Arabidopsis thaliana: one gene and its partners. The protein of the gene in region 3 interacts with the protein of the main gene of each other region in a pairwise test. Each region holds a gene or a part of one and is shown on either strand. Other genes may lie near its edges.

Region 1 (8,132 bases), on a different chromosome or scaffold from region 3:
TATGTTTTTGAAATCAGAAATATATTTTGTGTGGATGATAGGTGTTTATCTTTTATCCAGGCCATACAAATGTTACATAGGTTGTTATTCTGGTGGCACAATTCAAATTCTTCTTGTACTTCAAATTCTATAAAGAGAAGTTGTTAATCACTAGCTAGATTAACCCCTCGATTTTGAAAGGTGTTGTTTTCTTCGTTTATTCATCTATCTATTTGTTTAGTTATCTATATTTTACTGTTCAGTAGGATGCAGTTTAGAAGTAAGTCTACGAAAAAGGAAAACAAATAGGGAACATTCGAAAATAAAGACTAGCTGTGATAACGATCGTCTATAACCACTAATAAATACTATCCTCCTCAAGTCGTATTCAGCAACAAGCACTAGAGGGGTCAGGTGCAATTTTTAGACTTTCTAGCTTTTAAACAAACATTGTTAGCTTGGCAACAATGAAAACTAACATGATTTTCCATGCATATTAAACAAGTCACTAATCTAATTTATTTCTGATGTCTAGACTTACGTACGTACATGTTTAAGAATAATTTGGTTTCAGACCGGGAATGTTTTATTCTCATAATTATCAAAGCTTTTTATTATACTAGTAGTATCTAAATTTCTAAGCAAAACTACTAGAACTTTATTATAGTAAAGCAGAAGTTAGAAGAAAAAACATAAGACTGGAATATTTCTCATTATTCTTTATTTTCCCGTTTTCCTTGATCATCTTGGAATTGACTCGTAGCTTAACTAAGCATTTATACCTGCACAACCCAAAAACAAAACAAACAAAAAAACAAAAAAACCTCAGAAACAGATATGAAATAGAGGTCTATATATCATTAAATAAACACATTACTACATTAGCCGAGTTAGCTAGAGCTGATATATGAGGTTTTATCCTACTTAATCTACTTGGAATCTTAGGCCAAGTCTTTTTGGTTTGGCCATATATTAGGCCAAGTCTAAAATGTTGGTAACTAAAACTAAATATATATTGAGATTTGTTTTATTCATCCTCATCTTGGGATAACGAGCCAAATATCAAACTTCTTGGTTAAAAGTAAATAAATCCGTACCACAATCCACAGGAGGAAGGTTACAAAGCGAAGGAAGAGAGGTGGCTGCACGGAGAGCGTTGCATAGACAATCTCTATTAGTAGATTGAAGTGCGGCGCAACACTCTGAATTTGGTCTGCCTGAACCGGGCAGCACCATGGCGGCGCATACCTGCACATTTGCTAGATCGTTGCCACATTCTTGGGCTTGAACTACCGTTTCTATAGCAGTCATGGCAAGAAAAAGGACACTGAGAACGGCTGCGAAAGACTTGAACGATGCCATTATTGCCATGGATAAGTTTGTTTCTATAGATATCTGATGTAGTTCTATGTATATGATATCATATGTTTAGATTTATCATTTATATAATGTTTTGAGTGTATATTTTGAGTGATTAATTAGATGAGTTGAGGAGACGTTTGGCATGGTCACATGGTCTAGTTAGTTCACAAGATTTACATGTGAAAGTAAATCACTCTGTTCTCTATCCACCACGCTGAGTGCAAGGTTTTTTTATTTATTTATTTTATTCTTTAGTGCAAAGCAAAAATATTTCATATACAAAATTATGTAATATATGAAATTAACTATGGTAAAAGGAGTTGACAAATTATCTCTTGTAGATAGTAGGATGGTTGGTATATTGAAGATGAAAAGTATTACTGTATTAGTGCAAGTAGATGAAGATTACATATCCGTATTTGTGGAATTTTGTATGATTTAAAATCACGTCACAAATACATTTTATTAAAATTTCAGAGAAAAAAATAGCATGTGTCTGGCTTGTTTGTGACGTGTTACCGATGTTTGTAACTGTATCAGCTTTAAATAAACGAGGCTTAAAAAAAGTCATAAGAAAAAAGGTAAAATATTGATTGATAGCGATGAGTTCCTGAAGAACAGTCTTTTTTCTTTTCCAGAATTAGTAACACTTTCCAGAAAAACCTCTTCATAAAAAGAGAAGCTTTAATCTAAGAAGAAGAAAGAACAACAACACAGTAGACACGTTAACATTGAATCCCCCTCATCAGATTCATATACCTAAGAAAGTTAGTCTTTAGTAACTCGTTCTTTACAAAGACAACATTGGAGCTAACTATCAAAATGCCTCTCATGACTTCCAAGAATATCCTCCCATGCTTTCATCAACCTCATTGCTAAAAACCCCGTTATTCCCAAAGTTGAGCGATGTATTAGAGATAATACCTTCCAGGTTTTGGCTTTGGTCTAACCCCTTGATGCCTCTGAATCTGTTGGAGGTGCTTGGTGTTTCAGCTGCTGCGGGAACATAATCTGTTCTGTTTCTTCCCATGTTGGTATTGCAATTCATCATGTTCTGACCAGAAAGTGACTGTTGTTGTTGACCGGAGCCTCCATTGCTGTTTGCCATCTGTTGCCATATTTGATGAATCATTTGTTGTTCCAATGTTTGGTTACCGCTACTACAGGAAGGTGGCTGTTGGTGGTATTGCTGGGTTGAGCCATTATAACTGGAGCTTGGCATTTGCCGCTGAGGAGATAGATGGGAAGATACACCACTTATTGATGGGCTATGCACAAAACCAGGTAACAAGGGACTAGTTCCTTGATAGCTCGGGGATGCACTCCGGTTTCTTGATGGTTCTTGCTGGATTGTGGTGTTGTTTAGGTCTGAATTCAGATGGTTTTGTTTCATGAGCATGCTCTGGTAGTTGGTAAGCGCAAAAGCGGCAGCTTGTGCAGAGCCGGGAAGAGATCCTTGACCGCTCATGTTGTTCATTGGTATGTTTATCCCGGAATTGCGCAAGGCCATTAGCTTGTTGAGACTGTTCCTATCAGGTGGAAGCCCTCGGGCAGCCGCTAGTTGCTCCATCTCCTGCATCTGAGGTTTACCAGCCTTCATTCGATATGGATAGCTCTTCAAAGCCTCTGCAAATGTTAAAAGGTAGCAAGAAAGCTTTTTATAAGCACAGCCAAGTAAAAAAAAAGCGTTTTGATGAATCTCAGGGACTCTCTGGGATTTATGTATTAACTTACCGATTGGACCCACTTTTTGGTCACGGCAAAAGTCAATCATATCTTTCATGCTGCTGACAACCTCAGAAATCTGTTTAAAGAAGATGGCAAGAGTTAAACAGTAAAAAGGAGACACGCCACCAGGAAAATGCAAGAAAGTAGGCAGAGAGATACCTGCAGACACCGAACATATCGTTTTGAGAAGCCTAAGTCATTGAGTGAATGTGACTCCAAGCTTTTTGCTAGTTGACGTCCAGCAGCCATGACCCTGGAGCAAAAGACTTGGCATCAGTACATCATATTTGTATATATTAAGCTAAAATCGCTTTGATCTTCTTTGCATCAGTGAAAAATCTTACCTAATTACCGTACAAGATGCAAGAAACAATGAAATTGAATTGATTGAGAAATATGGAAGAAAGAGAGTGAAATATTGTCTAGAATCATCAAGACTCACATGTTGCTATTAGCTTGCAAATCTTGTTGATGAATCCCATCTGATCCACTTTGATCAATTGTGCTCTGACATTTCTCTGCAACCTGAAGCAATTGGTTCACCTGCACGACCATAGGGAGCAGACATTCAAAAAATCTCAAGACCAGGGATTTCAAAAAGAGTCACAAAGATTGTAAGAACCATTAATGTTACCTGTGGAGCTACTAGGCGACGAGGAAGTAGTTCTTCATGTCGACGAGTACAGAACTCCCATGAGAGAATCTGGCAAAAGGAAAAAGGATAAGCTAAGTTACTTTAATACACATTAATGATTAAAAGTATTTGGAATCAAAAGCTCTTTAAACCACCTTCAGCTCTTGGGAGAATATAATCCGAAGATGGCCTTCGCGAACAACACGGATATGTTCGTACACACTCTCCTGAACTGCTTTTCCATACTCTAACACCATAATTCCAGATCCATATCTGCGTTCAGACGGTACACCCAGATAAAGAAGCTCGTCCAGGACACCACTTGCGAATTTGATTTCGTTAAGCCTTGGCAAGACATCAAAAGTTGCTTCTGCAGAATCCATAAGAAAAAGTTACTAAGAGAAGATGTTTTGCTACCATAAACATTTTTGAAATTTCCCTCTTCTTCATCAGGGTATAAGCAAATTGGAACTTACCAAATCCTCTTCCCGATTTAGAACCACATAGATCACACTGCCATTCATCCTGCAAATGGAAAATACAAAAAGCAAGAATAAGTAACCTATTTGTAACTACACCGTAAGATCAGCATAAAGAGTATGAAACCAAAAAAAACAAAGAGTCAGGGAAACAAACCGTGGCTGCCTGAGGAGAAACACCAAGTGCACTATGCCCCACATTATCATAATGAGAAAGACACCATCTTTTCTTTGCCCGGGGAGAAAAATACTCCGTCACAAATTTCCTCCAGTAAACAATACTGCTCTCCTACAAAATCAGCAATGACACGACTGGTATCTGTCAAGAGCTTTTTTCTAGAATACACATAAAACAAAAAATTTGACGACTACATGCACACTCACAGAAGGCCTTTGTCGCTGATGATATAGGTACTGCATCAATCTTCGAGCGCAAACGCTATTTTCATAAGGTCTTGGCCCACCGGTTAGTTGCATTTGCATTCCTTGTTGTTGCAACTGTTGCTGTTGCTGTTGGTGCTGCTGCTGCAACTGTTGCTGTTGCTGCACTTGTTGCTGCTGCTGCAGTTGAACCCGTTGCAATGGTGGGAGGGACTGGAGATATTGTTGCTGTTGCCTCAGCTTTTGTTGCTGAAGCAAGATTTGGAACTGTGGATTTTGGCCTTGTTGTTGTTGTTGCTGCTGCTGCTGCAATATATCCTGTCTCTGAAGCCACTGACGTAAAATCTGCTGCTGCAAAGCATCATCCTGCTTTGAATCTAATCTAGGTTTTTTCCGTGCTTGAGTTAAGTTGTTTGGATCCTGAAAGAACGATTCAGAAGCACGCCGAGCCATAGAAAGCGGGATTTGATTAGTTTGTGATGTAGGCAGTGATGTAGCACTAGAGCCACCTAGCTGAACACTAGGATCATGCCGTTGTACCACAGTCGACCCATCTACAACTGATGAACCAGATATGCTGATATTATTAGAAGAGAACGACATAGGAGACGCCGGTAAACGCATATATGACTCATTATTGATACTAGCACTACGCTGCAAATGAGGACCACCTCCAGAGAGCCCTGAATTAGCATCTGTGACAAGCGAACTAGCTCCTGCGCTTGGACCGGGTGTTGAAACACTCATCATAACCGGATTATGCATATCACCAGAAACCATACTGAGATTGTGATAGCCACCAGTAGGTCCACCACATCCAGGAGCAGAGTTAGATGAATTCCCATAAGAGGAAGTCAAGTGAGAGTTAATGAAGCTTTGAGATTCATCATCTCCTTGAAAGAAAATCCCAGAAGTTGAAGAAGCCATTAAAGGGTAGGTCCCAAGTGAGTCTGAAATCCAAAGTTTCTTCCTCAATGCGACACAAATGTCCCACCTTTACTACTGATACCTACAACATTATACATGTATCGATTAAAATCAGATCAATAACATTCCCTAACACATGAATCTGGTGCGTTATTAAAGATACACAGACATTGAACTTAACCACTGAAATAAAAAAAAAACCAAATCAAAACCCTAATTTTAAAGTTCGTTACTTAACATAACTAACCGAGAAACTAACCAATCCCCAAAAAAAAAAAAAATAGATAGCAATCCCTTAAAAATCTCGGAGTTAGATATTTAAAAAGCAACCGAAATTAAATTACAAAATAAAAAAGCGAAGAACACGGAAACAACGTACGAAGAACTGTTAAGTGGAGCTTCGATCAATATAGAACAAAAGCTGAGAGATCACAACTAGAAATTAAAACTAAACCCAGCTGAATTGAAACAGAAGAAGAGGAAGATAATTAATGAGACAAGAAGAAGAAGAAGAAGAAGGAAAAAAATTTGCCTGGAAATTTCAAGCTGTAATATAAAGTTAAAATAAACAATCTTCTTATTTATTTTGTGTTTGTTGTTTTTGCATAAAAAAAAGGAAAATCCTGGAGAGAGCTGGAACTAGGCAATGAACTTGACGCGCCTTTGTTAATATACCTAGAGGAAATCGTAAGAACCAAATCTGACCGGACAAGCCGGTGACCCATCTGCTTATGGTTTTGCAAGTACTTTTTATTACCCGCTAGTCAATACTGACACGTGTCTTGTTTATCGTAACAAGTATCGTATGACCGATTGGTAACCTTTAGCTGTTTTGATTGCGTGGCATATTCTTGACCTTGCGATCAATAAAGTTAAATCAATTGTGGATCGTTCGATTGAGAGCATGGATCGTGTGCGACGCGTGTAGTTTAAAGTTGATTGACCAAATTATGTTTTTTATTTTATTTTTTTGTAATAACTGTACCAATGATTGCAGCTGTAAATGAGTGGGCTTACGACAAATATCCTCTTTTTTGCATGATTACTTATTGACCCCAATATTACTCCCTTTGACAATTCAACCCCTAAAATATTTCGACAAGATCATCCAACTATATGGAGCTACGACCCAACAGGCCTATTTCAGTATTTTTAGGCCCATTATTAGCCCATAAATAATTATACTCTGTTCTCCAACCGTTCAAAGCTCTGTTCTCGAACAGTCTTGAGGTCAAACCTAACCGGTGTCTCTGTCTCTAAAGCACTAGCTTGTTCAAGAAATGATCAAAGAAAGCTCGTGTGTGGTCCGTACGGTCCATGGATCATTCAAAACTTGGCAAGAAGACACACAACACCGACGATAATTCTAGACAATGTGGATCTGCAAGAAAGAGAGATTTTTAAGTTGCAGAGTTTGTCGGAGTTAAAGGCGTGACGTGTAACACAAGTTTCTGTTTCAGTTATTTCATTAGCTTACCTGTACTTAGAAACGTAGAACACGACTTATAAAATACAGAAGAACGATGACAAATAAATATAAATGTAACAACGACATTAATATATCGTCATTATTTATCAGAAATAGAAATAAATATGTGGGGGATACAACATTTATATTAAATATATGTATCTGTGATGGACTGATAATGAGACATAACAACAATCACATTAGCTGTCACTCTTTTCTTTAACTTTTTTTTCTCATTGTATAAAATTTTATAAAACAATAATCTGCTTTATATGATTCTTATCTTTCTTCTTCTTCCACGAGTTCTGTCCAGAAACAGAAACATTAATTTATTACAAAACAAAGTGTATTTACTTCTCTTTGCTCAGACGTTTCTTTTTTCTTCTTCTTCTTCTTGATCTTTTTCAGAAATCAACTTCATCTCATCATTCCTCTGTTTTTTTCTCTCTATCTCTCTTAATAAAGAAAATGATGAAAATGAGTATCGGAACAACAACTTCCGGCGACGGTGAAATGGAGCTCCGACCTGGAGGAATGGTTGTACAGAAAAGGACGGATCATAGCTCAAGCGTGCCACGTGGCATTCGGGTTCGGGTCAAATACGGGTCGGTCCATCACGAGATCAGTATCAACTCTCAATCTACTTTCGGTAAACGACACAAAACATTCCGAGTTATACAGTATTTCCTTTATACTATTAGTATGCTCTGTTTTTGGAATTTGATTGTTGTTGTTGTTGAATTTAACAACAGGGGAATTAAAGAAGATATTGTCTGGTGCGACAGGAGTTCATCATCAAGACATGCAGATTATATACAAAGACAAAGAAAGAGACTCAAAGATGTTTCTTGATCTTTCTGGTGTCAAAGATCGTTCGAAACTTATTCTTATAGAAGATCCCATTTCTCAGGAGAAACGTCTCCTTGAGTTGAGGAAAATCGCCACCAAAGAGAAATCATCTAAAGCAATCTCTGATATTAGTTTCCAAGTCGAAAGACTCGCCGGACAAGTAACTTAAGAAACATAATTTTAAATTTTCCGGATAACAACGCTCTTGTCTCGTAACTTGAATCAGAATTGTTTTTTTTGGTTTTTGGACTTTAGCTGTCGGCGTTTGATACAGTGATTGGTAAAGGAGGGAAAGTTGAAGAGAAGAATCTTGAGAATTTGATGG
Region 2 (6,455 bases), on a different chromosome or scaffold from region 3:
TGTTTTATAACCAGGAATTGTAGGAGGTAGTAAGTCAGCGTCCACAGGTAGTACCCCAGTACCCCACCACTCTTGAAAACGTGGACCTAAGCTGTCTAATAGACTGTTAAATTCAACTTCTTCTTCTGTCATATTCTCTTTGCGAATAGGGTTCTTGATGATCGGATCTTTGATTACCAAAGGTGCACTTTGGTTATCTTTGGCATTTGTTGCTTCATCGCCAGCAGAAGATACATCTGGGACAAAAAGAGTCTCTTTAGGACCGGCCATTTGATTAGAGATCACAGGAGGTCCTTTATAGTCAAGTCCACGATAAACCACCATTACACTTCCGGCCCTCCATATCACCATTCCACCAGTTCGACGCTGCCCATTAGAGTAATTCAATCAGTTTTTTTTTAAACCTAAAGTTAAGACATGCATCTCCTGCACAGTCTTGTTACTCAAAGAATTCTAACAGCATGCTCAGCTCCATCCACTCTAGTTAATCAACACCTCAAATTCACCTTATTCACAACTATATAATCGTTCCCAAGAAAGATCTAACGTTTTTCACAAATTTCCTACTGTTATTATAAAAGCTTTATAACCATTCTATTTCAGAGCTTAGGTACTTCAGAGTCTCTTACTATCCTATAAAGATCATGTCACTTCCGCAAAGCTTATCCCCAATAGATAATGAAAACCGCTCTCTCTTGGAATAATCTCGCACCTCAAATTTCGCTAACCTACTGTTCTAATCAATGAAGTATTCAAGAGAACTAACGAACCTCAACAATCTCATGGGCCGTCTTCATGTCACGAGCAAGCACTTCGTGGAACTTTAGCCTCACAAGCTCTTCTTTCCTCCAAGTATCATAAATCTTCTCCATCACTGCCTGCGTTAGCCCAGCTTTTGGTATATTGATCCTAACCCTCAGATACATTCCATCCCTCCTTAACCGCCGTAACTCAGAATCCTCAACGGTGAGCTCCGCCAGTGATGGAGCTCTAGCTCTCCTCTTCTGCATCACCGCCACTCCTCCTTCTCCTACTACTCTCTCCGCCGCCTGCTCTTCCTCATTTTTCTCCCATGGCAATAATACCTCATCCTCTTCCTCACTCTCTTCTCCCTCAGCAAGCATCATATCAGGTCTCACCCACTCTCTCTTCAACAAATCCCCCAATCTCTCTTCTCCAGTCACCGGCTTCACATCTCCGCCGTTAATTCCACCTCCCTCGTCATCTTCCACATCGTCCTCATCATCCGAACCTAATCCTAAATTCCGTAGCCGAAGAACAATCCTCTCAATCGCGTTTTGTCCTTTATCCTTCTCCAAATACCGAAGTTTCGCTTCCGCTTCCTCCTCCGCAGACCGAATTCTATCTCCGCCGTTGTTTTCACCACCTTTCTTCCCGGCATGATCACCGCCAGCTCCGGAGGATGACGGAGGCCACTTATCTATCCAAGGAGGAGTAGGTTTATGATTACGTTGATCTAATCGACGATTGTTATTGCTCCTGTTGTTGCTACGCTCGCTTGTACGCAGCGAAGAGAATGGCCGAACAATTTGTTGACGCGAGGGTTTCACACCCAACGAATAGAAGAGCAATGCGTGAAGCGAAGGAGAGGAACAATAGCGAGAGCTAGAGGTCAGAGGAAGAGAGCTTCTCAGTGGCATTTCCGTAAAATTAAGTGGAGCCAAAGCCATTGACGACACTAAGAAATTTTTTTGGAAAAAAAAGCTTCAGCGAAGTGTCTTCTTCGCCATCGTTTTGGATACTGAGAAATAAGTTTCAGGCGGATAAGCTGGATTTACTCGACCATACGGATAAGATTTTTGTATCGGTTTTAGGAAAATGGGCCTTTAATGGGTTTTAAAAGCCCATTACTACATGTTAAGTTTAAAAAAATTACACAGGTGAAAAGTTATATAAGCGACGGAGTCGGGTCTGAGTAAAACCGGTTTCGTTGTCGTTGGGTCACCGGCCGTACTAGAGAGATTCACCGTGAATTCGAATATTAAGTGAGAGAAGCTCCGATTGATTTCACTTTCTGCCGCCAATTTTTGTTTTTTCTTCGGTGAGACGAAGAAGATACCATGGGTCGACCTCCCAGTAATGGCGGTCCGGCGTTTCGATTTATCCTGCCTGAGGTTTATCTCGATTCTTTGTAATGTGTTGCTTTCACGGATTTTGAGCTCCCAGAGCTGAAAAATCTGATTTTTGTGTCGGTTTTGTTCCTTAGGATTTAGGTCTTCTTTTTGGGTTCATGATAGGGTTTAGATCCTGAAGTCCAATTGAATTTTTGTAATTAGCTAGTAGAAACTTGAAGACAATTCGATGTATGTTCTGAAATCCATTGGCTTTACTTTATTAAGTAATGTTTAAGAGTTTAGATTTGATAATACATAAGTTTTTCTATCTATCTGTTGTTCTATGGTTTTGTGACTTCTTTTGAAGAGGTTTTATCTTGTTTGTTATAGCTAATCTTCAATTGTTATGAAGGTAACGGAGATGGAAGCAATTTTGCTACAGCATAATACAGCAATGCCAGGTCGACATATTCTTGAAGCTCTTGCTGATAAGTTTAGGTATTTTACTTGTTGTTGCTCAATTCCTTGGCCTGAAAGTGATTTTGTGTCTTTATCATCTAAAATGTGGTTACTTTTTGTTATCTGTTGTCTCAGTGAATCACCTGAGCGGAAGGGGAAAGTTGTTGTGCAGTTCAAGCAAGTACTGGCTTTTTCCTTCTTGATTCTTAAGTTTTATCAGACAGAGTCTGTTGGGTTTGCTTTTAAAAGTTAATGGGAATGTTGTTTTAATGCATCACAGATCTGGAACTGGTTTCAAAATAGGCGATATGCTTTACGAGCAAGGGGAAACAAAGCTCCTGGGAAGCTAAATGTATCTTCCATGCCGCGTATGGATTTACCAAATCAGATGAGAAGTGTGATTCAACCATTATCAGTTCCTAAAACCACTCATATGACTGGAAATTTACCCGGCATGACGCCTGCCCCTTCTGGTAGTTTAGGTGCTTTATTTATTCTACTCTCAGTAAAATAGGTTGAGAAGGTTATTTATTGGAATAGGTTTCATTGGTTTTTTCAGTTTTAGTTTTTTCTCCATAAGTCTAGATCAGTATGGCTGATATTGCACAGATGCCATTTTCGTAACTGTTTACTGCTTTTCCTCATAGTTCCCGGTGTCATGAGGAGTGGTTCAGACAACTCTTACTTGGAATTTGAAGCCAAATCTGCCAGGGATGGTGCATGGTGATTCCCTTGCATTCAATCTTCAGTATTTTTTTTGCTGACTTATGATACTTTGTAACAATATCATTACATTCCACTGGTTTTCTCTGATATGTAACTCTCTTGCTTACTTACAGGTATGATGTGCAAGCTTTCCTAGCTCATAGAAACTTGGAGATTGGTGATCCGGTAATTCCTAACCAACCTCTTGTTGACTTATTTGTTCCCCTTTTTTGTTTTGCTAACAACAATCTTTCTGTTGGGTATTTCAGGAAGTGCAGGTTCGATTTGCGGGTTTCGAAGTTGAAGAAGATGAATGGATAAATGTCAAAAAGCATGTAAGACAACGGTCTCTCCCATGTGAAGCATCAGAATGTGTTGCAGTTCTTGCTGGAGATCTCGTCCTTTGTTTCCAGGTTTAGAACTTCGCTCTCTAAGCATTTAGTGATAGGTGTCATGTTAGTTTATCCCTGACTAGAACTATGTTATAACATCTTCAGGAAGGAAAAGATCAAGCTCTTTACTTTGACGCCATTGTTCTTGACGCACAGAGAAGAAGACATGATGTCAGAGGTTGTCGTTGTAGGTTCTTGGTGCGTTACAGCCACGACCAGTCCGAGGTTGGACGATCATCTCTCTCTCTCTCTCTCTATCCCTTGCGGTTTTATTTACCCGTCAGCTCCATTTCATGGTTTAGACCATAAAGCAAAACCCTCCTCACTCACCTATTTTGGATTTCTTTTCCGTTATCCCAGCAGGAAATCGTTCCCTTGAGGAAGATTTGTCGGCGGCCCGAGACAGATTACAGGCTACAACAACTTCACAACGCCGTAAACGATTTGGCTAACTCAAATCAGCATCAGATACCCGCTCTAGATGCGGCTGCAAAAACCCCTCTGTCACTACCCGGAGCTACAGTTCCCATTGTTGCACCCGAGTCAAAAGATCCGAGCCTGAGTGCCACTCCAGCCACTTTGGTTCAGCCTAGCTCCAATGCAGCTACTGTTCCCGCTGGTTCAGCCTAGGCCATGTAATTTCTATCCCCGTTTGTAACAGCCATTTTTCACAGTTACTAGTAGAGGTTAACTTGGGATCATATGCATTGTACTCTCACACAATGAATTAGTCATCTAAAGCTGTATCATGCCATGTTACTTGATCCTTCATGTATGATGGAATATTTATGGTTTAGTCCGGTTTATTCATCATCTGTTGATGGTCACCGGTTTTTTACTCTTTTGAACAAACATGCTCGAATCATGTGGATTTATTCTTTTCAAGGCTTAAGTTTACAAGTTAGGAATCTTACCTCGAGTCATTTAGCTTTACAACATTTGTGGGGATGAGAAATTAACCAATTATTAATCTGAAAAATATCTCACTGTGCTGAGGAGACTAGATAACACTTGAGGTCAAAAGAACTATTTTGCTTCTGTAAATGACTGATCAGCCTAGACACAGAACAACAGTTTTACAAACAATTACAACAGTTTTTATTGTTACAGAATAACAAAGGGAATAATAAGAAACTTACAGATTTGATATGTTACATATCATATGTATCTAACTTTGTAACAAGGGCTCAACTCTCTCTGAACATTTTATCCAATGCCCCTACATATCTATCTATATACATCATAGATGATTGTTTGATCGGGAAAAACAAGTGACTACATTGGTGCGGGTAATCTCCGGTTATAGGAGGATCCTGTCCCCGAACCCGAGCCTGATCGAGATGGGGAATGAGACGGGGCTTGAACTGGGGACGAGTTAAGAATCTCGAGACGGGGCTTGAGCTGGGGATGAGTTAAGAATCTCCTTACCAAGGTCTTTGATCTTGTTGATAAGCAGCGATTGCTCTGTCTGAAGCTGGAGCAAATACTGTTCTTGTTCGTCCTCCAAACTTTCCAGCTCTTCTAAAGCTTCAGCAAGACCTTCAAGATCTCCATCGTCAATCAAATTCTGAAACTTTATCATCACCTGCTTCATCTGGTTGGACAGTAACAGAGCTTTGTTAAACGGTGTGCCAGGACCTGCGCTGGCGCGTCTCTGAATCTCCGTGACTTTCCTCGTGACTCTGACATGGACCTCCCCGTGTTTCACTCCTTGGAGAATTATCCACTTATCGGCAGTCTCATTTGGCTTTAACCCTTGGTACTCCACAACGCAGTTACCGATGCTTGAAGTCGGAAGCAGAGTGTTATAGTCTTTCACATGTAGCTCCAAGGAGCTCCCATCATCTGGAAACTCCATTGTCTGGTTCCATTTTGGTTGCAACGTCTTATAAATCACCTGAAAACAACAATCACACGAGAAAAAAGCCATCTGTAAGTTTTGTTTTCTTTATGAAGTCTTTTTGGTCCAAAACAGTTTCTATAATACCTTTGTCCTCTGTTTCTTCTCTCCATATTGAACCCTAACATAAGGATCACTGGTTCCTCTAATATCCGCGGCCACAAGATCCCGCGCTTCAACGAGAACCAATTCAATCAAGCCTTTACTAGAATCCGCCTGCGATCAAGCCAGAAAAAAACATCAATGAGGAAAAACAAAGAAACAGAGTGATGTTTGTTTTCCTCAAAACACTTACTTCGCTGTACTCGGGATCCAAAGCTTCGATCAAAAGCTCTATTTCTCCAGAATTAACATCTTCAAGCGGAACCCATATATGCATTTCGCTGTTATTGATTCCTTGAAGACTCAATGTAGCTGTACCGATGTTGTCCGTGCCAAGCATCTCTTCTCTATAGCATTTCACCTTTAAATATTCTTCTCCGGCTAACTCTTCGAACTCAAATTTCTGGTTCCACACACACTCTGCTGCGTTCACTATCTTCGTCTTTTGTATAATCTACAAACCATTCAAGCACATGCCAACCTCTTAAGATTTTAAGATCGTGCAATAGCCATTTTGAAGCAAAATCATGAAGAGAGTACTTACTTTTCCGTACTGTAACTTGACAGAGGCATCACATTTTCCGGACTTATCTTTAGAAACAAGGTTCTTTCCAGCCAAAACCGTCACGATAATTTTCCGGCCGGTTTTCGAGAGGAGGGCAGACGAGCTGTCGAGGGAGTGTAATGAACTCGAATTAACGCTATTCAAGCTATGTGAGCCATCAGAGAAGTGCCATTCTTTTAGAAGTAGCCGGACAGTCAACTAAAAGACCAAAAACACACACATAAAAGTGGTCAAAAACTCAAAATCATAAAAGAGTA
Region 3 (7,241 bases):
CTACGACTCTAGGCAAGGCTACAAGATACTGCAACATGAGATCTAGTTGTAGATTCATATATCTTATCCTTATCATTCGCAACATCTCGCTTATATTACAAGAGATCTAAATCATTATAGGTTTATCAATATTAACATCTTGGGCTATAGAAAAAGAAATATATATTGAGAGAGAGCAGAGAGTGAACATGGAGTGAGTGTCATATGAATATGATTCATCATGATGAGGAGAAAGAGTTAATATACTGTTGTGTCAGTTTTGGACGTAAGAGAAAGTTTGTCCCACTTGTTGGTGAATCCACAGTTCCTCTGGTCAACACTCTTCTGAACCTATTTTTTTGTTTGTCTCTTTCTCTTAGCTTTCTATTTTTTCTTTCTTGTCACTTCATAGATTTCTATTTACACTCTTTAATCTCATTTGTTTTCGTGATAACTTCTAAACTGCGATCGTAATTTTCTACTTTAATTGGGGAAAAGGCCAATAGTTCCTTTTTAAACACAACAATATCGATTTGGTTCCGTTATGATATTATTATGTTACTATACATAGCTTTTTACCCCCCAGTTGTTACAATACATAGATTTTGTTGGTTTTTAACTATTAAGTGCACACGGCAGCGTAGACAGTGACAACAAGTTGTCTATACGGACAATCAGATGTCCAAACTTAATGATAACTTATTCTTAACTTCACATATTTTTAAGACGTAATATGTTGCATTGTGCTAAACTATAAATGATGAGTTATTATATGATCAATAATAATAATGCGGTGATAAATTAACTATGTGAGAACATTGTTTAGGTTTCTAGTTTTAATTATAATTATATTTAGTAAGGAAATGGGTGCAAATTAAATGTTGTTTTGTAGATAAAAGAAAATAATATAAGCATGGGTAAAGATAACGTTAAAGCGACAAGATGAAGGAAACAGTCAAACAGTAGAAAGTAGGACTGTAGGACCATGTTTTTATTGAGAAACATTTGTGTGATTTGATATTACATTTTTATTATGCTCTTTTGACATCTGATTTGATCTAACAAAGCCCCTACCTAGCTAGACCTTCTTTGCATTCAACTACAATTATTTACCAGCGTTTTATTCTCTTTAATTCCCTTGAATACTCCATAAACATTGCAGCAAGAAAAAGAAAAAAAATATTACATTGCAACAAGGTAAAATATTAGTATCGAATCGAGAGTTAAAACTTCAAAGCAAAGGATCTTATCAACTGACTGTCAAAAACTCTGTTTCCTAACTTTGATACGTTACTTATTTATTTTATAAAAAAAATTTGTTTTCTTTTGATGAAAAAATATTCAGATTATATATTAACTCTGAATTCAGATTATACAAAAATTCATAACGTGGCTATGAATATCAACTATTGTTAATTAGCATAATTTCAATATAAATGAATTGTTTTGTTTTTGGCATTACAAATTACTTAATTGATTCCATGCATTGTGTAGTTCAAAGCAATATTTACTAATTAATTTTATCTAAAATAACTGAAACTATTTTTTTCGTACTATCATCATTCGACGCATTTTTATATTAAAAGAACTAAATCATCTTTGAAATCGAATTTTCATACATTTTTAATTTTAAAGGGTAATATATTTGATAGAGTACATATTTATTTATTGATTTTTTATATAAAAATGAGTGAACCGTCTATAATTTATAATTAATAATTATATTAGTGTAATAATGCATTTCTGAAGAGGGGATGGATTAGGTGTAGTATAATAATTATATTAATGTAACGTTTTAATCCCCGGGATTAAAGTGAAATATCACCTCACACGTGAACTGTAGTCAAAGTTCCCTACTTCCCGCATGTAAACCTTACATCACAGTCTAAACACTAAACATAACGCATGACCTAATTCACTTTCACACTGGGTGATGTGATGCTTCTACATTACTCATCCCCATATTAGCGCATTGTTTAACAATTCCACATATATAATCAATTTTTCAAGAAGAAGAAACAGAACAACATTATAGATTTCTTTAGATAATAATGAAACACACATCATATATTATTGGTCAACAATTTAACGAGAGAGTTTTGTGAATGTTGTCCGAAACTCATACATAAACACCGTCACAACAGGTAACTGAAACCAATACTTTATAAAATCTTAACATTTAAGCCTACGTACGAGAGATGGTGAAAGAAAGAGACAGGTCTTAATTTCTTCTTCAAACTCAAATCTCCCACACGACTAGATCTGCAAAAGCAGAAAAGAGACCTCGAAATTAAATCACATAAACAATTATATACACACACATGCAGGCACATCCTCCGAAATATGGTAGTATTAGAATTTATACTACAAAAGTCAAAATACACGAAGGCCAAAAAAAGAAAAAAAACCCCAATGAATGCTCTAAAGAAGCGCAAGGTGTGTGTGTGTAATTAAATTAGATTGAGTCAACATTGTTGACCTAAGCCAAACAACATGTCTCTCGCATGCATTTATCCATTTTAGATCCCAATGAAGAAATAAACTAGTACTAATATAGATGTATAAACTATAATTATATAGACATTAAATAAGTATTCATTTTACCATAGTTTATTTAACCGATAGAGTAGTATCTAGCTATAGTGGAACCTTAATTAGTATAACAAAGGAAAATAGAGAGGAAACAAAACCAGATAGTACGAGGCTCCGTGTTGAAGAGGGTGAAGAGCGACGCCATATTCATCGGTGACAATGGGCTGACCCGCGGAATTAATCAGAACAACCTCTTCCCCAAATGCATCCCTCACATTGAACGGTCCTGAGCTCACTTCAAGCTCCATTTCATTGATGAAAACTCTTATTCGTGCGTCCGCTGCATCCATATTTAGCCATTGTTATCCCATTATTTCATGTTAGTATAATGACTATAACAATCTATATAAAACAAAATTGTAAAGCTCACACAATCTATTTTCAAGAAAGAGAGAGAGGGTATATAGAAATAAAGAATCATCTAAAGGCTACTAAACATGAAGGTTTTAAAAAAAGATTTGTATGGATCAATGTGTCCCTTACATTGTTGACACAAAATTAATGTATCTCTACGATTGAGTAAAATTTCAACATGTATATAAGTAATCTATAACTTAAAAAGGGTGATAACTTTATATATTAACATTACCTTGAACTTGAAGCTGGTCCGAAGTTGATGGGACAGTAGCGAGAGAATGCGAAGTAGTAATAGTGGTGGCAGTAGAAGTAGTGGGAGGAATATGAAGCATGATGTTATTGTTGTTGTTGTTGTTGTTGTAAGAAGCTATTTGATGATTAGTGGTAGCGTAACAAATCTGAGTCTGTGGCTGTTGCAACATCTTCATCCTCATTTCTTCAACTTCTTTCTCACTCAAGTGTTGTTGATGATGAGTTCCATAACTCACACTACCGTTCATGATCTCACTCAGCAGGAGTCCGGTACACGTTGGAGCCGGTTTTTGTTGCTCAATCATATCACCGGAGAGAAACCCTAATTGGGATGAGACGGTGATACCTTCAAACCCTCCGACAGTGGAGACCGGGAAGAGAAACGCCGGTTCCGGTGGAAACATCCCCATCATTTGACTACCACCCAAAGAGAGATTAGTGTTGTTCTTGTTCTTGCTTTTTCGGGGTTTGGTGGATTTGGAGGAGGAAGAGGAGGAGGAAGAGGAAGAGGAAGCCGAAGGTTGCGGCTGCGGCTGCGGTTGCGTTTGAGGGAGAGAGTGTTTGGAGTGGTTGTGGAGGAGGCGGAGTTTGTGTTTACTACGGGACTTACGGTTTTGGAACCAGTAGAAGACGTTAGCATCACCGACTTGGCCGTATTCTTGAAGCTGAGCCCTAATCCTCCTGATCTCCTCTCTTGGAGGATTCACCATCCCGGAGTTAAAGATTGCTTCAAGTATCCGAATCTGCTCTGGCTTTGGATTCCATCTTGGTTTTGGCTCTGGACTCCTCTCCACTTCACATCCTAAAAAATTCACAATCTCATCAGATAAGAGTTCTTTAAAACAAAATTTAGTTTTGAATTGGTAAATATGTAGAAGTAGAAGGACCTGAAGAGAAAGGAGAAGATCGGTGAGAAGCAGAAGGCAAGAGAGGAGAGTTGATGTCATGTTGCCATTGATGGGGATGAGGTTTGGACTTGAACATGCTTGGCCAGTGTCTATTCGAAGAAGCCATAACTAATTAACTCGATCCGCAGAACACAGATGTATGTGTATGCATATGATGATGATTGATGTTGAATGATGATGTGATGATGATGTGATGTGTCAAAAAGAGAGGAGGAAGAGACAGGGAACAGAATGGCTAAATGGAAAGATAAATAAAAATGTGAATAGGGCAAAAGGGTTACGACCTCTTTCTCTCCCTCTTATAGCCTCTCTTCACCTACCCAACCTGTTTTCATATATTCATTCATCTCTTTTACATAAATTTAATTTAAAGTCTCACCCATATTTCTATACACCATTTCTCTTTCTCTCTATATCTATGTATCTATCTATGATGTATAGATGTGTATCTATATCATTATGTGTATATGTTTAGTAAAGACAAAAAAAACTATCACTACTTCTCTTGTTTAGGGAATCAAATGAATTAGAGAAGTAGGCTAAATCCTATTAACAGAAATGTTATAAAAGAAAATAGGAACACTGTTTTCATTACGTTTTATTATTAACTACTTCAGTCAAACAGTATGATTTAGTTGCATACTTGCATTAAATAGTTTTGAACAAAAAAAATTGCATTAAAAAGTAAATTTATTAATTCTATAGAAGGTCTTTGATCGCTTATATATAGATTATGAGGAGCACTTTGACATTTTAGATTTGAATCCAGTTTTGCTTGTCATGGTTCAATTATGATAAAATAAAAACTGTTTTAGGGGTTAGTTCCCTTTAGTGTCATCTAGTGGGAAAATGTGTATATCACCAATGGAAATTCAAAAGGCATTATTACAGTATTAAAAAAAGAGTGACAAGGTTAGTATTTAAGTACGTCAAAATGTGCTAGTCGACGAGTAGCCTATATTGCTATAACGTTAAATCACTGATGGATTGACCAATACTTCAATAACAAATAGAAGAAGACAATTTTGGAAATCTTAAATTTCTTCAACAGTCATTTGATTAGTTGTGTATCATGAGCGTTTCTTTTAGCCTCGCAAACAAATAGAAGACCGCATGCATTCACACTGTCTAATAAACCACTTTGAGAGTCCGAAGGAGCTTCACTGAATTAGCCCCAAACCATATCAATCTCACTCACAAATGACCAAATTGATAGCATACCCTGTGGCGAATGCTTAATACCATTAAATAATTTTATCATTTGTGTTTTTCATATATGTACAAAAAAATCCAAAATCCATATGAAAATAACTGATAGAGAGACTAGTTATATGTGCCCAAAAAAAAAAAAAAAGAGAGAGACTAGTTATATAGATTTATAGAGTGGGTACTGAATTATTTAAAAATATTCAATATTTATTATAAGAAATTATTTTAGCAATTTTAAAAAGTTGCCATACAAAGTCATCTGTAATTTTACAAGGGTATTTGAAGCGCACTCCAAAAATTTCTGTTTACTTTAGGTTTATACTAATAGACTCTGAATTCATATTACTAAATTAAAAAATTTAATTAGTAGAGCAATACAGATTTTCTGTTACTACATCCATATTAGAGTTTGCATGGTATTTCATTCGTTTGTTTTGTTATTCACATTCCTAATATCAATTTCTGAGATAGAAAACAGTAAGAGACAGGAAGAAACTCAAAGTGATCATTAATGCAACCCCATGCCTCACTTCCTTACACTTCTTGCATTAAACTCCAAACTGCTTCTGCAGTTCAAACGTACGAACACAAATTTCTTCAGAAATTGAAACAACAGATTCTTTGAAAGTGATCCATGTTTGGTTCTGAACTAGGATTTTTTCTCCTTTTTATTATTTTCTCCTCTGACATCTCAAAAAAAAACATTAATTAAAACAAGACAGAAAGATTGTAAATTTTCTCACATTTTATGTTTATTTATTAACTATAACAAGATGGGTTTTTATTATTTGCTTGTATTACAAAAAAATAAAATCATGTAGTTTCTGGATTTTCAGTCTGTGCAGAAGAGGATTCTCTCGGTCACCTTCGGGGCATCGGCCTTAAATTCGGATGGGGAGCAAATGGTTTGTTTGGACGTAGGAATAGTCATAATCAAATTAGCAAACACGATTTTAGGAGTTTTGTGATGTAATAGTACGGAAAAAAGAAACATGTATTAATGGGGAAAATACGAAATTTTAAGAGGTCAGGATGGGTGGTGGTGTATAGTAATTGCAAAGAAATTAAGGTCATTTTTTTTTGGATTGACTCGAGGGTCTTTGTTGATGATCGTTCCCTTTAATAACGTATTAATAATTCTTCAGTTTCTTTTGAAATATTAAGATTCTTTTCATCTGCATTTATTTCAAATATAAACTAAATGGAGCCTTTTTTATCAGACAAAAAAAAAAAACTAAATGTGAGCTTTATTTAAAAGACTAACTATTGAATGGGACTATGGGACAATGCTAAACAGTCTTAGTTTATAAATCATAACTTTGTGATAGGATGCAAATAAATCAAAACAAAATGTGGCATCTCCATTTAACACAAGCGGTTATCAGTGTTAACTAGATCTGTAAGTAACATTGCAAAGTCTCGTTCCAAGGACTGGTCCAAGATTATTAAGGATTCCAAAGCAAAACAATTTATGGCCTTATTTTTAAGCAAAAAAATAAAGATATTTTAGTTATGTGGATATAGTAGTATTTTATTTGTTCTTAAAATTAAAATATAAAATATATGTTTAGGCTGTTTTGGTGCTCGGGCCTTTGCAGCTTAACTTCGGCTGAATCAGAAAATGGCGATCAATGCAACCATTTAAATATCTATATTTCCATCTATTCTTATGAAACAATAAACAATTCGTTTTGATTGAAAAAAAAAACAACAACAAACAATTCGATGTACTATAAGTTTTTCAAGTTAATTTACTAATTAAGAAGATTTTTCCATGACAATCTACATACCAAAAAAAAGTTACTAATTAACATATCCTGCGTTTAATTTTTGGTTATAAGAAACGTCGAAGTGATTAACATACAGCCTGAATTTTTCCTATATGTTTTTGGGAGTATCTAGGTTTATCTTGTTATAATAAAATAGTTTCAAAATCTATCATTT

What was found. Proteins that work in one complex are often made in the same cells at the same time.
Region 1: the proteins of HB-3 (region 3) and SLK2 interact in a two-hybrid assay, tested with the Arabidopsis thaliana proteins (one large-scale study listed by BioGRID).
Region 2: the proteins of HB-3 (region 3) and SHH2 interact in a two-hybrid assay, tested with the Arabidopsis thaliana proteins (one large-scale study listed by BioGRID).

Annotation. Positions count from the first base shown.
Region 1 is NC_003076.8:24,933,051-24,941,182, forward strand, and holds SLK2 (SEUSS-like 2), read right to left. Parts: upstream 6,190-8,132; 5' UTR 5,870-6,189; exon of another isoform or gene 5,573-5,869; 5' UTR 5,491-5,572; coding exon 4,567-5,490; intron 4,472-4,566; coding exon 4,340-4,471; intron 4,229-4,339; coding exon 4,180-4,228; intron 4,074-4,179; coding exon 3,859-4,073; intron 3,773-3,858; coding exon 3,704-3,772; intron 3,613-3,703; coding exon 3,512-3,612; intron 3,323-3,511; coding exon 3,229-3,322; intron 3,146-3,228; coding exon 3,076-3,145; intron 2,968-3,075; coding exon 2,171-2,967; 3' UTR 1,912-2,170; downstream 1-1,911. Other genes in the region: AT5G62080 (Bifunctional inhibitor/lipid-transfer protein/seed storage 2S albumin superfamily protein), read right to left, coding at 748-761, 1,077-1,350; BAG2 (BCL-2-associated athanogene 2), read left to right, coding at 7,427-7,607, 7,711-7,967, 8,063-8,132. UniProt on the Arabidopsis thaliana protein: Probable transcription regulator that functions in the development of the carpel margin meristem similarly to SEUSS (SEU).
Region 2 is NC_003074.8:6,308,808-6,315,262, reverse strand, and holds SHH2 (DNA-BINDING TRANSCRIPTION FACTOR 2), read left to right. Parts: upstream 1-1,856; 5' UTR 1,857-2,081; coding exon 2,082-2,135; intron 2,136-2,487; coding exon 2,488-2,573; intron 2,574-2,669; coding exon 2,670-2,715; intron 2,716-2,814; coding exon 2,815-3,016; intron 3,017-3,181; coding exon 3,182-3,257; intron 3,258-3,373; coding exon 3,374-3,425; intron 3,426-3,508; coding exon 3,509-3,652; intron 3,653-3,736; coding exon 3,737-3,856; intron 3,857-3,991; coding exon 3,992-4,261; 3' UTR 4,262-4,544; downstream 4,545-6,455. Other genes in the region: EMB1865 (CRS1 / YhbY (CRM) domain-containing protein), read right to left, coding at 1-366, 771-1,691; ATSYTF (C2 domain-containing protein), read right to left, coding at 5,007-5,528, 5,619-5,747, 5,827-6,087, 6,178-6,396.
Region 3 is NC_003071.7:14,339,404-14,346,644, forward strand, and holds HB-3 (homeobox-3), read right to left. Parts: upstream 4,376-7,241; 5' UTR 4,195-4,375; coding exon 4,068-4,194; intron 3,983-4,067; coding exon 3,161-3,982; intron 2,852-3,160; coding exon 2,634-2,851; 3' UTR 2,242-2,633; coding exon of another isoform or gene 2,236-2,241; 3' UTR 2,019-2,235; downstream 1-2,018. UniProt on the Arabidopsis thaliana protein: Homeodomain transcription factor required for meristem growth and early development. Promotes cell proliferation and prevents premature differentiation in meristematic tissues during postembryonic development.